Linked DNA regions of Coturnix japonica. The protein of the gene in region 2 binds, or shares a complex with, the protein of the main gene of each other region. Links are inferred from orthologs where the notes say so. Each region holds a gene or a part of one and is shown on either strand. Other genes may lie near its edges. The genes, in order: GDF2 and ACVR2B.

Evidence for each region.
Region 1: the proteins of ACVR2B (region 2) and GDF2 are in contact, whole or in part, in a crystal structure (PDB 4FAO), measured with the Homo sapiens proteins. The link is inferred for Coturnix japonica from reciprocal best matches to the Homo sapiens genes ACVR2B and GDF2. Residues at the interface, in NP_001097.2 of Homo sapiens: Asn35, Glu39, Cys49, Glu50, Glu52, Lys55, Leu57, Tyr60, Ser62, Arg64, Val73, Lys74, Cys77, Trp78, Leu79, Asp81, Phe82, Asn83, Glu94, Gln98, Val99, Phe101; in NP_057288.1 of Homo sapiens: Arg333, Ile346, Ala347, Pro348, Lys349, Glu350, Tyr351, Glu352, Lys397, Ser399, Pro400, Ile401, Ser402, Val403, Leu404, Lys406, Gly410, Val411, Pro412, Thr413, Leu414, Tyr416, His417.

What each region holds. Positions count from the first base shown.
Region 1 is NC_029521.1:15,464,780-15,472,357, forward strand, and holds the end of GDF2 (growth/differentiation factor 2), read right to left. Parts: coding exon 7,382-7,578; intron 5,727-7,381; coding exon 4,789-5,726; 3' UTR 2,686-4,788; downstream 1-2,685. UniProt on the Homo sapiens protein: Potent circulating inhibitor of angiogenesis. Signals through the type I activin receptor ACVRL1 but not other Alks. Signaling through SMAD1 in endothelial cells requires TGF-beta coreceptor endoglin/ENG.
Region 2 is NC_029517.1:5,164,407-5,172,523, forward strand, and holds the start of ACVR2B (activin receptor type-2B), read right to left. Parts: upstream 4,840-8,117; 5' UTR 4,413-4,839; coding exon 4,361-4,412; intron 1-4,360. UniProt on the Homo sapiens protein: Transmembrane serine/threonine kinase activin type-2 receptor forming an activin receptor complex with activin type-1 serine/threonine kinase receptors (ACVR1, ACVR1B or ACVR1c).

The DNA.
Region 1 (7,578 bases), on a different chromosome or scaffold from region 2:
TCCTATCCTTATTATTTGAAAAGGTGAAAACTCCAGTAACACGCAGAAGCCTATGTTAAGCTGCCAGGTACTACAAACAGCTGTCACCAAGCTAAATCCTAGACACTGTGCTGCTGATGGCACGCCAGATCAAACATATCCTACCCATGCTATTCAACGTGCTGACATAGGATGCAAGTGCTCAGTATGTCCAGCCAGACTAACTATTGCCATTTTAAGCTATCTAGCTTGAAAGTGCTGTTCTCCACCACTATTTGCTCAAAAGCTTTGGTTACCAGCCTGGTACCAAGCCCTGGGCTGCTAGGCTGTTGCTTGCTTAGTGCTTCTGGTGTACTGGTCCAGCATCAAGGCTTGTGAGGACCAGCAGACAACCTATAGGACTCCAGCCAAAGCTTGCACCTCAGAAAGGGGCTGACTCACAGCACCTAATTTTCCATGCCTACACTAAGGCTTCACCTGATTTGTGACTGATGATCTAGAAGAGACTGGAAAGCAAGGTACAAGAAAGAAACAAGGCCATCTTGGCAGCAGTTAACCACAACTGTGAGGCAGCAGCTTGGCAGGATAACAGTGCTAAAGCAACCCAGCAGCTGCAGCCAGAGTAGAGACCAAGAACAAAACAGGCTGTGGGCAGCCCAAAGGGAGACTGGCATACAACTGACATTATATTTAAGACACCATGGTGGTGGGGCAGGGGAGGTAAGAAAGGCTCCTGACAGCCCAGAGATGCTGCTGAGGCAGTGCAAGACAAGATTTAGAGAAAACATTGTAGAGTGAAGAAATGCCCACAAGATGTTTTATAGGTCCCAGACAGACCTAGAGCAGCACAGAGGAAATCTGTGGCTCAGGCACCTCCAGCTTGATCTTCCTGCCCTGCAATGAGACAAACAGAGCTCTTTAAAGTGCCTTGCACTCCAGAAACTGCTGCAGAACCTACCCTGGTTTTGCTTATGCTAGAAACATAATAAACAGTAAGTTAGGGAGTTCAAATGGGTTAGAGGAAGGTAGTTGCTCTCAGATGCAGCCAAAGGAGAAGTAGAGCTCCTTTTAAGACATTTAAGGGTAAGGTCTTGTGTACAGTGACAATAACAAAAAGATGGCAGTAAACATCCAAAAGGTTCCTGTATGGTGACAATAACATAAAGATGGTAGTAAAAATTCAAAAGGTTATTTACAGGAAAAACTCACCTGTATGGAAGCCTTCGGTCTGCTGGGAAATTCTGAGGCAATCTTCACCAAGGAGCAATCTCAAAGAGATGCTTTGAGATTAGTGGCGGTCAGCCCTTAGATAAGGTCTAGAGGACTCCACCCCTTCTGGGAGTGCAGCTAAATTACTCTCACCTGTGCTCCTACAGCTGACCCAACACTTGCCTCAGCTAATTAATCAGAAGTTCAGGCTGTGATTATCAATTTCCCATACATCTTGCTTCACAGACATTGTTCATCTGCTATTTATTTGTTTTCTTAAGTTGTTCTATTCTGTTCTGTTCCATTCTTTGCAATAAGGGACTTAATTCAGTACTGCTTATGGGCAGCTACAGCGTGACATTAATTCCGCTTGCAGCTAACAGTGCAGCCAGCCCTATGCAGAACTCTGTGTTGCATAATTGTTGTGGCCATGTTCTGAGAAGGTTGGAGTAGATTCTGCTGTGACCCAGAAGCAGTGTTAGTTCTACTAGAGCACAATTGTGTCTGAAAGGATAAGCTGACTTTAAAGAGTCTAAAACCTGTTACTAAAATTTCAACAATCAGGAACTCTAGGTTAGCATTTCTGTATTGTCAGGTTATTTTCAGCAGAAAGGTATCTAAACAGAGATTAAGTGAATAGCTCCAGAATCTTGTGAGGCTATTGGCTCTTAACCCATACATACAATAGATAAACATACAGAATGGTATGATTAAGCGGCTATCAACAGATCACATAGCTAGAAACTATACAGTTGATGATTGTAATATTAAAGGGCTGTTATTACACAGCTAATGATCTTGAATATGTTGATGTACTTTAGCCTTGTGTTTATGTTAAACAAACAAGCTTTATTTTTAGCTGTATGTCCGCGCAAGCCTCAATATGCTCTGTTATAGCAGCATGCTACTGGTTAATGTTTATATTCTGGTGGTGAGAAAGTGTTTTTTAGTGTCTAATGAGGCCTGACTTCATGCAGGTAGGAAGGTGCTTTGCCCACCTAACTTTGTAACTTGTATATTTTCTAGTGCTTTTTGTTCACCTCGCTGATGCTTTGTGTTCCTAAGCAGCTGAAAAGATAGAGACTGTGACCAATTGTTTAAAATGAAATATTCAAAATGTAGGCAGCTAAATTTACAATGTAAAACCAAACATTGATTTGGCACATACTTCTGCTGTCCTGTAGGTAGCATTTGTAGTTGCTATCAGGTTCTCATTTTCTCTTGACCCTGTTCATTGCAGTGTGGAAAGATTCATGTTTTGGTTTATTTCTGTACCATCCAAAACAGTATGGCCTATGGGAGTATGATTGCTAGTGCTGGCTAAAGATGAAATTGATTTTTTATTGTTTTTTGGTTGAAGTACAAAAGAGACTTGTAGTACGGTTTTGAGAAAGTGTCTTAAGAGCTTTACTGAAGTTGATAGAATAGCTGGGATCTGAATTGAGCTAAAAGTGACTTCTTATATTCTCCTTCCCCACCACCCCCCCTTTTTTTTTCCCTCTGAGAAAATAATAGATTTTTGAGCAAATACATTTGTGAACATGTGAACATTGTGTGGACTAGTCTTTCTCCTTTTCCACTTTTTAATTTCATAATTCATAAAGTCCTGTGCTCAGTGAAGTCAGAATTACAGCCTAGAACCTTGTGTTTAGATGACTTGAGGGCAAACAGCTACAATTACCTTAACACATGAGTGAAAAAGAATTCTAATGTGATCACACCAGATGCTTGTTTAGTAGCTTCTTTTATGTGAAGAATAGAAGTTGTGCGAAATATTGTAAATCTCAGAGATGTCAATACAAAAGAGAGAGAAAACAGATTTCCAAAAGGAGGAAGATATAACAACTGTAAGATGACAGAAGCCAGTGGGGAGTAGTAAAATGAGAGGATGTCACATGAAACCTAAGAGGTTAATGACACTCAGCTATGGGTGGATAGAATTCTCATGGATCCAGACCTCAGATCTGATCCAATTGCAACCCTCTTCTAATGGAAGAGGCTGTAAATCAGCCACAGGATTCTGGTGAATCATGCTTTGTGCTCATGGGTTGTGATGTAACCAACAGTTCTTGAATTACAACAGCTCTGCTCACACTCACCTGCTGTGTATTCTGTATTAAGTTAACAATAGAAAATAAATTGCATATTAGATTTCAAGCTGAGCTGTTCATAGCAAATTAATTTGTCTTGCACACAAGCTGTCCTAATTTAAAACATCTGTATCCATTTAAATCATGTTGCTTCCATATATTAAGCTTCTTTTCATATTTTTGCTTCGTTAATTTTTAATATTTTGCATATATATGTAGTTTGCTGTGGATTTGAATCAAAAATGGTAGATTCTTTTTGGTGGAAGGTGGAATAGTAGAAATGGAGTGGAGTGTGTTGGCATTTCATGGCACTTTGAATTTGCACCTGAAACCAATGCAAAGCACTGTCTTATCTTGTACAGGCAAAACCTTCATTACAATCAAAGAAAGTTTTCCATAGTTGCAGGAAACATGGAGTTGTTTAGTGAAAATAGAAATAAAGATGGGAGAACTGTTGTATGGCAGTGAATTTCCCATAAAGTAGTGTAAGTGTCCCAGAACATAGAAAGGAGTTATCAATTGTTCCCAGACTTCTAAAGGGTGAAAGAATTTCATATGCAAAATAGTGTTTATCCTAAGAAAAGATAAAGAAATAGAGCCTGGAGTTAGACTCCGAAGAAATTTGTCAGGCCTCAAAAAATTGGCTTGTTTATTTCTTTTCACAAGTGCTGAGCACTGCCAACCCCCACAGCTGTCAGGGTACAGATCCTAAGACTGGATGTCATTTGACTGCATGTTCTTGCAAAGAAATACTAAGAATATGCAGTGGGTCAAAGTGGCTCCTTATCTTTGTGAGGAGATAAGGCCTGCTGCTCCTCCTAGGAAACAGTGTCTTAGAAGCGGAAGGCTGTACTTATCATTCAAGTATGTGCCATAAAAGGGTAAAAATAGGGACACTGAGGATAAGAAAGCTGAAACCAAGGCACCTGCTACCCACAGAAGGAAGCCTTGGAATCAAATGAGATGGAAAGTGTCATCTGTTTGGGAAATTAAAAAACACTTCACTTATATGAGTAAGTACTTTGCATTAAAATGACTTTAAATGTCTCTGAGATTACTGATGTGAGTAAAGATTTGCAGGATTTAGACTCACTGCTTTATCATGCAAACTAATTGCAATTCAGTTACTTCACAGAAGCTGGAAATAAGAACTGGCTGAGAGAGTTAAATTTCTAAGAGGCATAGAAACCTAGAGGACATCCTCAGTCCCAAAGGCTGCATGTGATCTGAAAAGAACTAGTTTAACAGAAAAATTCAAATAAGTTTTGTTTCTGTCACTCTAGCCAAATAATGCATAGTTCTTTCAATCTCACAACATTTTAATTAATATCATATAATGCAGGACATTTACACTGATGGACATTCTTTAAATGCCAGCTTTCCTTTAAAAGCAGCAACAACAACCAACCCCACACCATGCTCCAAACCTTGTTTGCAAGGATTTTCATTTGCATCACTAATGTACAGTTTCACAGACAGAAGTGTATTCTTCTTAGATATTCTGCATATACTACCTGCAGCCACATTCTGCCACTTTCATCCCTTCATAGTTATATATCAAAGTGGGTACACCAGCATCATCCTTATAAAGAATAGAGATTGAATCCAATTTAGTTGGAACACAACAGGCCTTAGAAGCTTTCTTAGGGTTTTGGAGATGCACTAGAGTCTGGACAATAGCATGTTTCGTTGGCGTAACATTATCTGTCAGAGGGAAGAAGCAACCTCCTTTACACTCAAAAGCCTCATAATCTTTGGGTGCAATGATCCAAGAATCCCAACCAATCTCTTTAAAGTTCACATGGAGTGAAGTTCTCCGACAGTGGTTTGCTCCAATGCTTCTCTTGCTTCTGGAGGAATGCTGATGGGGCCTAGCAATGGCTTTTTCCTCTTTCTGTTCTTCTTCAGATGAAGAGTTATTCTTTCCTAATTTGTTTAGCACATTTTCTTGTTCATGAACAATCATCTCCCGGAGCTCTGCTTTGGTCTCTTTTGTACCATTGCTGCGATCATTGGAGAACACTATTAAGAGGGGCAGATTCTTAGTGTCATGAGTAACACTAATATCCAGCTTCCCACAAGGGAAACCACCCAGAGCCTTACTCTCTATTACAACCTCTAGCTTGTTTTTAGTCTTCATCTTGTCTGCCTTAACCCATCTTTTCACAGCGCTGGACACTTCAAACATCTTCCAGCCACACTCCTGAATACTGTGGGAGACAAGAAAAGATTTGGTACCTTCCTTGTTTTCCCAATGGTCCCCGTCTAGAACATCATAAATGACCATGTTGCCTTCCGGTATGGAGGGAGACACAGCTTCCTCGTGACAGGAGATAAAGATTCTCAGTTCAGCTCTGGTGATTTCTTCATACCGTGGAATAGAGACGTTGAAGAACAAGATGTGTTTCTGAAATGGGTTTTCTTCTGGTGAAGTTAAAGAAACAACATCTACAATAGGAAATAAAAACTTATTGTTACAGTGCTCCTGACAGTCCAAATAACTTGCTTTTAAAAGGTGCGGGATGTGTTTTGTGAATAAAATATGACCACGGCTACCTAGCATTAAACAAACAATCAAAAAGAAACAGATACCATCTCCTGGCCAGGTTTCAAGGAGCAGGGAGTGAAAAGATAAAATGTAGTTCCTTGATGTTGGTAGCATTTTCACCAAGGCTGCATGCAGGTGAATGTCTGAAGCAGTGGAGGGGTAGCAGGAAGAGTCTTCCTAGAACAAGGTGCAGGTGGTGCTGTAGCAGGTACTCATCACTGGATGTTAAGTGTTAAGTTTAGCAATTTCCTGAAGAGATTTTACAGAAAGGATTCCTATAAAGAAAGGATTCCTATAAAAAACTTTTAGAATTCACCGCTCATAGTAGTGCAGTAGGATAAACTGCTCTCCTATTACAGAGAAGCATGGTATATATTTGTCTCTTTGAGAATTAATTCTGCTGGGGTTTTTGTTGTCTTCAAATAGCTTTGAAAGCAGTTTGTGTTATTGAGAGTTAGAGAACACAGAAAACATGTGAAAAACCTGAATCAAAGCTCAAGAGTCTGTTTAAATTAGGACTAGGTGATAAACAGTTCTTTGTGTTTAGGTATATTCCAGGCTTTTGTGAGCATTCATGGTGCTTTGGTGTTTTTTCTGCAAACGTGTAGAGCCAGCAACTCTGCCTTGGAAAGGGCAGATATTTTTGTGAGAGATCAGGTTGTTAGTGTTTTAAAGTCATCACTGAATGATATCTTTTTGGTCATCAGTTTAAGATAATTACTCAATTATCATTGTGTTTTAGGGCAATTCTAATTTGCTATTGTTGACCCATCTTCCCTCTAAAGCAGTCTGAGTGGAGAGTGGGGTGTGGGAACAAAAATCTAGTTCATACTGCTGAAGTTTCTTTCCATTTCAGGATTAAAGTCACTTATTTGGGAATCTGGAGATCCTCATAGTGTTGTTACCTGTATACAATCAATTTTTTTGTAAGAACAGATTCTTCCTGTCTCATTTCTATTCCAAAGACTGTACTTATAGCATTTTTCTTTTTTTTTAGTGTCTTGAGATGGAGCTTTCAACAATCTATTTATTGTTACACAGGTAGATCTGGACTTTTTTCAACTCAAGACAAGCCTGGCTACTACTTTCCATGTAAATCTTCCCATCTAAACCAGAATTTGGGGTGGGCACTTCTGGATCCTTGCTTGGATCGAGGCACAAATTTCTCAGTTGGCTATTGTGCTTAAGAATGACAGAAGCTTCCTAGAAAGAAGCGTCCTCTGTCATGAACGCCTGTGCTATAGGTGATCACATATTTGTTTTCTAACATTAAAAACAAAACAAAAAGCAGTCACAAATCTCTACCTGTAAACCCTGTGCTCAACATATTGTCTCAAATAGATAAAATTGTACAACAAAAATATCAGAAATTATTTAGTTATATTTTTTTAAAGATTGAAAGGAGCAAGGCCAATGTCCAAAATTTTAATCTATTTACTTTCTAAGTAGACTGCGGAAGTTAGGCAACCAGTTTCCTCAGAATTTCAAAAGCATCTGACTGCTGTTCATATATTTCTTTAAAAGTTCATGTCCACACACTTAGGACTTCTCCTACCTTCAGTGCTGAAGCTCCTCACAATGTTGGATGCAGGGATTGAGGACTTGTCCGCTGTATATCTGTTGTATAAATCAATCATGAACTGTGGTGGTTCTTCTTTGGTCTTCACTTGTGAGGGGACCCTTGATAAATTCAAGCTTCTTAGTAAATCTGTCTTCATATTCTCCAGGAAAGATTTAAAGTCAAAATGGGTC
Region 2 (8,117 bases):
GGTATATAATGAGGGAAGGATCAGCACGATAGAAAAGTGATATAAAAGAAGGGAAGAAGATTGCTCATCTATATCAGAAGGTCACAGGTTTGCAGGGAAAAGTTTCACCAGGGAGGGATCTCCAGGAAGAGATCCTTCCTCAGTAGCAGTCAGCCCTGAAAAGAGGTCTAAGAGAGGTGCAGCCAAGGCTCCACCCTTTCCAGTGACACAGGTGAATTGCCTTCACCTGTGCTCTCAGGGCTGACCCAGTCCTTTCCCAGGTGCTCAATCATTCAGGCCACAAATCAACAGTTCCCATTCAGCCTGCTGCCCCACATATCTTAGTGCTGCATCCACCTTCTCACTGGGTGCCCAGCATCAAACCTCCCTGCTGTCCCCTTAGGTCTCAATCAGTTAAAACAAGGATACTGGTTCCTTCTCACCCACAACACTTCTGTGGGGAACCCAGCCCCGGCAAGCCCCAGCACTGTCACCAGCTGCCACCCATCCATCCACAGAACGAATCACAGAACCATAGAATGGCCCAGGTTGAAAAGGACTTCAATGCTCATCTGGATTCAACCCCCTGCTATGTGCAGGGTCACCAACCAGCAGCCCAGGCTGCCCAGTGCCACATCCAGCCTGGCCTTGAATGCCTCCAGGAATGGGGCATCCACAGCCTCCTTGGACAACCTGCTCCATGGCACTGCACTGGTCCCTGCTGGCATGGGGAGTGCCGGGGAGTGGAAGATAGTAGGGGGAGAAAGGACAAATAAATAAAAAGAAGGAAAAAAAAGTATTAAAAAACAAACAAACAAAACCCCACAAATCAGGCTGGTCAGTTTCTTTCTTTCTTCTCCAGCATCTATTCAGAGGCAGCAGGGGAGGTCTACAACTGTTGCGTCACGCCAAGCACAAAAAAACCTGACAAGCGTGTTTGAGCTGATGGAGAGCAGACTGGACAGGAGGTTGGTGACAGCTTTAACACAGGGAGCAGGAGCTCACTGCTTTAATTGGCCAAGGATGGGCTGCTCAGAGCCACGAGAAATGGCAGAAATTTCAGTGTGTAAATACTTCATCTCCTTCTGGTCCATGGATCTGGAATCTGTGATCAGCACTGAGGGCAGAGCGCAGAAGATGCTCTGAAATGGGGAAGGAGGGGGAGGAGGAGGGGGGATTGCGCTGTATGAATAACACCCCTGAAAATAATGCCTACTCGCATCTTTACCGCAGCATTTTCTTCTCCACGGAGCTGTGACAATGGTTATCTCTGTGGTATAATTATCTGGATTTGATGACAGATTAAAAAAAAATATATAGATCCCAACACCTGTTCAAGAGTTTTGTGTTTTTAAAGGCCATCGCCATTAACCTTGGGCCACGCACTTCATTGTGTTTAATTAGCAAGCTAATGAAGCCAGTTTTATTCCCTTTCTCAAGCACAAGAGGATAAGTACAAGACAGTGAAAGAGCAGGGCAGATCCATTTGCAGCACAGTTCATTGCTGCACGGCATTACTTAAACTTGCACCAAAATAAAAGTAATGTAATGGCTCGGAAAAGCGCCTTAGCAATGCATTCTGCAAGACAAATCCTTTTACACCTTCTGTATTTTCTACAGCTCCGAGATTCAAACACGATTTGGGAACATTTGGGCTGCAGAAAATTTGCAAACAAAGGGCTAAAAATGAACATAATGTTTTCCTCAATGAATCCTCAGTATTCCAAAAAAAAAAAAAAAAAAAAAAAATTAAGCGTAACAGATTTCTTTCCTTTATGTTTTTGTGGGTTTTTTGACTTATTTCTTTATTTAGATCAAAGAAGAGCGGGCTGCGCTGGCTTTGTCATGGGCAGCCAAGGGAGCACCAACAATGGAGGTCAAAGTGGATTTCGAAAAGCCCACCACTTTTGCACAGCCCTATATACACACACATACACACACACACACAAAGCCTGGCTGTGCAACCCAACAACATGCTCCAACCTGGGGCACAGCGACTCGGTGCCTTTCTTCTTAATTTAGGAAAGGGAAAACCGGACAACGAGGATCGTGTCAATAAATGCTGGTCGATAGCACAAGAAATGCAGAAAGGGCTTTAAAAGAGAGGGAGGGGTTTAGGGAATTGCTCCAGCTCTGATTGAGTGATCCGAGGGGATCCTTCCAAACAAACTGAATTGCGATCGTTTTCGGGGCTTTCTTTATCATATTTTTGGGGGCTGGTCAGTGTAGGTATGCTCCATCACATTATCCTTTTTATAACCTGATCTATTTAGGAACCTTTAGGGGTTAGTTATTATTTTTTGCCATCAACCACTTTTCTCCTCCAACTCCGATCTCCTCACAGCCATAGGAACGTGCTGAAAAAACCAACCCCAACCCAACCAACCAACCCAACCCACCCCAAACAACAACAAACCAGCCAACCCGGAAGCCATCCCTTGTATCGAACCACACCAGATGAAAGGATTCCGAGACCTACAGAAAGAAAACACATCGTCCATCCACCTCTTTGCTGCACGTAATAGAATCCTGCAGCCGGGAGAGCGCCTTCCCGGTACCTGCTACGTAAATACCCTCACCCCCATTCCATGCACATGGAAACAAAGCTGCACACAAGTGTCCCAGCGATGCGATAAAACCCCGAGCTGCCTTCGCTACCCGCTAATAAATTAACGTGATCTTTCATTTTTTAACCCCCTCCTTTCGCCTTTCCCACCCTCCTTCCAGGTTTCGGCGCGCCTTAAGAAATAAAGCCATAACGACGCTGATAATGACAATTAAGCGGCGTGGCACCGCTCGCCGTGCCACAGTCAGGCGGTGGCAGCGCATATTTAATGGGCACTCGGAACAAAGGAAGCGGCAGCGGGAGCGCCCCGGGGCCGGCACCGCTCCCCCCGCGGGTGAGAGCCGAACCGGGGGGCGTGGGGTGGGTGAGGGGCACGAGGAACCCCCACCCCCCCTTTCCCTCCCTGCCCCCAAATCCTTCTTTGCTATAGGATGGAGGGGAACTCCCCGCTCCGCGATGGGCACGGCCGCAGCATCGCTGCCTCCCACCCACACGCTGCACCCGCTCAGCCTCAAAGGTGCTCCCCTCACCCCACCCCCCCCCCCAATATACGTATCCCCCTTATATGTGTGTCCCCCCGCCCACCATTACATATTTTATATATATATGCCTCCCCCATCCCTGCTTATGTGACCCCCCTGGGGCTGCAGGGAACGTAACAAGTTACTGCCCAGCACCCAGGTTAATGAGGGGGGTCTGTACAGGGATCAAGGTGGGGTGGCCGGAAGGGGGGGGGGGGGGCACAACAAATAGCCGTTGCCCATGAAGAATATACAGCAGTCATAAACAATAAATAAAATAAGAGGAGGGGGAAACGGGGGGAGGAGAGGGGGTAAAGGGGCTTCAAGCGTGGCCGTGCTTGCAGTTGTTATTAGGATGTGTGGGCGGGGGGGCTTACAGGGTTCTGCCCCTTCCCCCAGAGGGCTACGGGATGCTCTCCTCTCTCCCAGCTGCGTTGCACCCCCCCCCGCCCCCACGGCCGCTTCGGAACTTCACCCCTTGCCCCCCCCCCCCCCCCCCCCCGGCTGAATCTGGGGGCAAAGCGGTTCGATTAAGGCAGAATTAATCCAATGAATTAAAATGAATGAAAACACAACTAACGCTTTTAGTCCCCCCCTCCCCCCCCGCCCCCTCAATGCAACAGAAACCCCTCTTGCATGGATGCTCCCCACCACCACCAACACACACACCCCCTTTTGCCCAACTTTCTCCCAGCAGCGCCGAGCAGCCCCATGGGGCTCGGTTGGTGCAAACAAGCAAAGCCCTGTAGGGCTGAGGGGAAGGGTGGGGGGTCCCCATGTGGTTTCTTTTAGAGGGGAGGGGGTCTTCCCCCAGGGTTAAGCTCCCCGGTAGGAACGGGGCGCACACACACACACGCGCGGCCCCAATACCTGAGCGGAGCCACCCCCGGCTCCCCAACTTCTGTGTGTGTGTACCCCACTCTCCCACCCTTTCCAGCCCTCCCCCACGAGTCAATGCCCATCGCCTCAAAGTTTCCTCGATCTCTCGCCGTGTTTACATCGCCGCTAATTCCCACCGGCAGCGAAGGGAACAAAAAAAAAAAGCGGCGGCAGCACGGCAAGGCTCCGTCCTGCCAGCACAGAGCTCGGGGAAAAAGGGGGGAGGTGAGAGGGGGAAGGGGGCTAAGAAAACAACCATATCAAAGCTTTGGGAGGGGGGGAGGAGGGAAGGGGTTCAACCCGACGGGTCTGGGGGTTCCGCTCCGCTTTTAAGGCTGTTCAGAACCTCACCGGCCCATTCAATGGTGAGGTCGGGAAGCCGAGCGTAGAGGTAAACACGGCGGAACGCGCTTACCTGCGCCCAAAGTTGCACAGAGCACGGCCAAAGTCAGCCACGAAGCGCTCATATTCCTTCACTCGGTGTGGTTTTGCGTTTTGGTTTTTGTTTGTTTGTTTCTCTCTGTCTCTCTCTCTCTCCTCGCGTGCCCCTCTTTCCCAAGGGGAAATATAAAACGTATTCAAAATAAAGAGCTGGAAGCAGAGGGGGAAAAGGAGGAGGGAAACGACGCGGTGCTTCTTCTCGAGAAAAAATAAAAATAAAAATATATATACACATATAAAGAAAAATAAAGAAAAATAAATGAGGGGGGAAAAAAAAAATCCTGAAAAATTGGATTTAATTCCTTCGCAGTTGCAAAATGTATCCAGTGGAGAGGAAGAGCCCGACCCGCTCCGCCCGGCCCCGCCGCTCGCTCCGCGCTTTCCAAGAGTTTCTTTTCGCTGCGCTTTTGTGCTGGGAGCGCGGCGTGCACCGCACACCGCCTCCCCCCCACTCCTCCTCCTCCTCCTCCTCCTCCTCCTCCTCCTCTCTTCTCCTCCTCCTCCCAACCCAACCCAGCCCCTCCGGCTCCCCCAGCAGTAAAGGCCGAGCGCACACGCCCCCCTCCGCTCGGCTTTCCGCGCAATTCACGCGCAACGCACAGCCACCCGTTTCTCTTTATTATTATTATTTCCCTCTATATATTCTTTGTGTTTCCCTCCTCCCCCCCCCCCCCCCCCCTCCTTTTTTATTTTCCCTTCCCCCACCCTATAAACCTCCCCCCTGAAGGAGAAACTTTGCGAGGGGATCCGCGTCCAGGCAAGAGCCCGAGGAGGGGGCGCGGGGCGCGGCATCGCGAAGGAGGAGAGAGATTGGGGCGGGGAGTTCAATTAAAAATCAATTAATAAATTGGGAGGGGGGGCAAAAAAATATATATATCGGGGAAGGGGGTTAGAAAAGGTGATTTTTTATTTTTTTTTTTTATTATTAGGAAAAAAAAAAAAAAAACTGAACCGAGTCCAAAATGGCTTCTAAAAAAAAAAAAAGAGAGAGAGAGAGAGAAGCCAAAGCGGAGCCAGCGAGGGGGAAACCCGGATGTTTGATACAAAGAGGGTTGGAGGGGGGCGGAGCGGAGCGGGGGCTCCGCTGTTCTGAATGGGGCGCGGCGCTGCCCGTCAACCCCGCGGAGCTCCGCGCACCGCCCGCGGCTCCTGCAACCGCGCTGCGCCGGGAGGTGCGGGGCTGGGGGTGCGTGGGGAGCCCCTGCGATGTCCTTGTTAGGGCCCTTGTGCTGTTAGCGGGCTTCTCTCCATCGCCAGCGCTGCGGATGCTGAGCTCCGCCCGCGATTTATTGCAATTATAATGAGGATCGTGCGAAAATAGGGAGCCCGGAGGGGTCTTAAGGGGGAAGAGGGGTGGAGAAACTGGATGGTCAGCTTGGGTGCCCGAAGCTCTGGGGAAATGGAAATCGTTCTCTGCAAACTTTAGAAGCGCTTTGCTCCGTGGAGAAATTCGGGTGGTTTGGGTGTTTGGTTTTTTTTCACCTTTGGGAAACAACTTCACCTTAGAGAGAGGTTGTAACCTCTGGGAAGGTGGTTTTTGTGTATGTATAACAGCCATGGAATGTGCTCTGTGCTGTGAGCAGGATCCCATGTGGAGCTGCTGGGAACTGATGGCCGATATCCTTCATGCTGCCATGCCTCGGAAAGGGAGGGCACCCACAGAACCTTACATACATGGCATGGGGAGGTCATGGGGACTTTGCAGCCAGTACAGCTGCAGGAAAGCATCCAAAATAATACAAATATGGAGCAAAATGCACTGAAACCAAAGCCCACGGGGAGTCAGGAGAAAGCAAGGTGTGTCGTGGCACCTGGGTAAGTTAAAGCGCGGCTGGGAAATGAGATGGAGATGTGTTTGTGAGAGGTCAGAGCTGGGGGTTGATCCCTGCTCCTTGCATTGACGCAGTGTGCTCATGGAGGCAGTGGGGTCACTGACCATGGAGGACCTCAAGAACCATGGAGATGTGGCCCTGGGGGACATAGTGGGCATGGTGGGATGGGTTGGTGGTTGGACCAGATGATCTTAGAGGTCTTTCGGTCCTTAATGGTTCTGTCATTCTGTGATTCTGTGACTGCACACAAGTGCAGTGGGGCTGGACATGGGGGCAATGGAGAGAGAAGGGCTCCTGGCTGAAGCTCAGGGAGTGTCACAGCTTCAAGAGAAGAAAAAACATGAGCCAACATCTCCTACTGGGCCACTTGTTTCATTGGAGGATAAACTCTGAAGCAGCTGAAGAACAGAGAAATGGGTGAGACAGTAAAATATAAACATGCTGACACCCATCAGCGTCCATCCTTCGTCTTCAGCTCTGACCAAGAGCAATGCAGCCCTCCAATCAGGCTCCCCAAGCGCTCCCTACCAGCACTGCTCCTGTTCTCAATCACAGCACCATAATGGAGCCCCTTTCCCAGCACCTCATATAGCCCCCAAGGTGAGTTTTGCCCCCTTGTAAGCAGTCCCCCTGATTGTCCTTTATCCCCTGAGCACCTGGGCGGCAGCCCGCCTTGCTTACATTGTTTCACAGGGGGGTGTTAACCCACCTGAAATGCTAAAATGTTGTCACCTCTTGCAACGTGAAAGGGTATGGCGGGTGGGAATGTTACAGCCTGGGCACGTGGACACTTGAAAACTTGCACCAACCATCCGGAATATTGGCAATGGGGCTGCAGGGGTTTAGCGATTAGGGTTAAGGTTAGGTGCCATCATCGCACGTCGCGGTCTGAAAGCCCTCTGAAAGCCATCTATCCAGGATGGTTTTGTGCTGCTCACAGTCATATGACACTCAATCTTTGTCGTGTGACGGGTTGGAACAAGTGGGCTCCGTGCATCCCAATATCTTGCATGGGAGGTGCTGGTGATGAAGGTACTGGGATCACTTAAGCCGGCACAGAGCTGCGCTGCTTGCGTGTCATTTATCTTCAAATCCTATTGTAGCGCTGGTGAGATGTAATTTCTGCAGTGAATGGCAATGTATGCTGACAGGGGTGTTATAAACATGGAAAATACAGAGGGAAGGGACCCAGCGTTTCCTTTACCTCCTCCTGTATACGCTGATGTGGATTTATTTTGCATGTTGCAGGGCAATGATGCAACCGCTCTGATCGCTCTGCAGCCTTGTGAAGCAAAACCCACATTGCCTGCAACAAGTGAGGAGCACAGACTGAGGGACCCGAGGCAGCAAAATGGTGTTCTGGCTGCATTCCCTATACTGGTTCCTAAAACACTGCTGTGGGTAGGATAGGAGGCACGCACCATTCTGGGTAAGAGAAACAGAAATGTGTACATGAGTACGTGTGTATGACTTTATGTGAGTAACCCTGAGCAAATAAATTCTCACTTTCCCTGTCGTGTCATCATTAAGTCCTTCCCAGTAATGCATTCTATGGAGCAAGGTCTTAATAACGCATAGGTTGCTCCAAAAGTAATGCCTCTTATTTATTCCCATGGAAACTACAGCTGACATAAAGAGCGCAATAATATTATTTGATAGTGCAAATCCTCAGCTACAAAACACCATTTTTTCAGCATAGGCACCATTGTTAGCCGTGCATTTTGACCAGCCATGAACAAGTCTGCATGCCACGCTTGTGCAAATCTGCACCCACTGTTTCACAGCTGCTATGATGGGGTTATTGCAGGGAGTCTAACTTTCACTGTGCTCACATCTACCATTGGGTCTCCATAACCATTCAGCAAGCATTGATAAATGTCAATGGCTGCCATTTTTTCT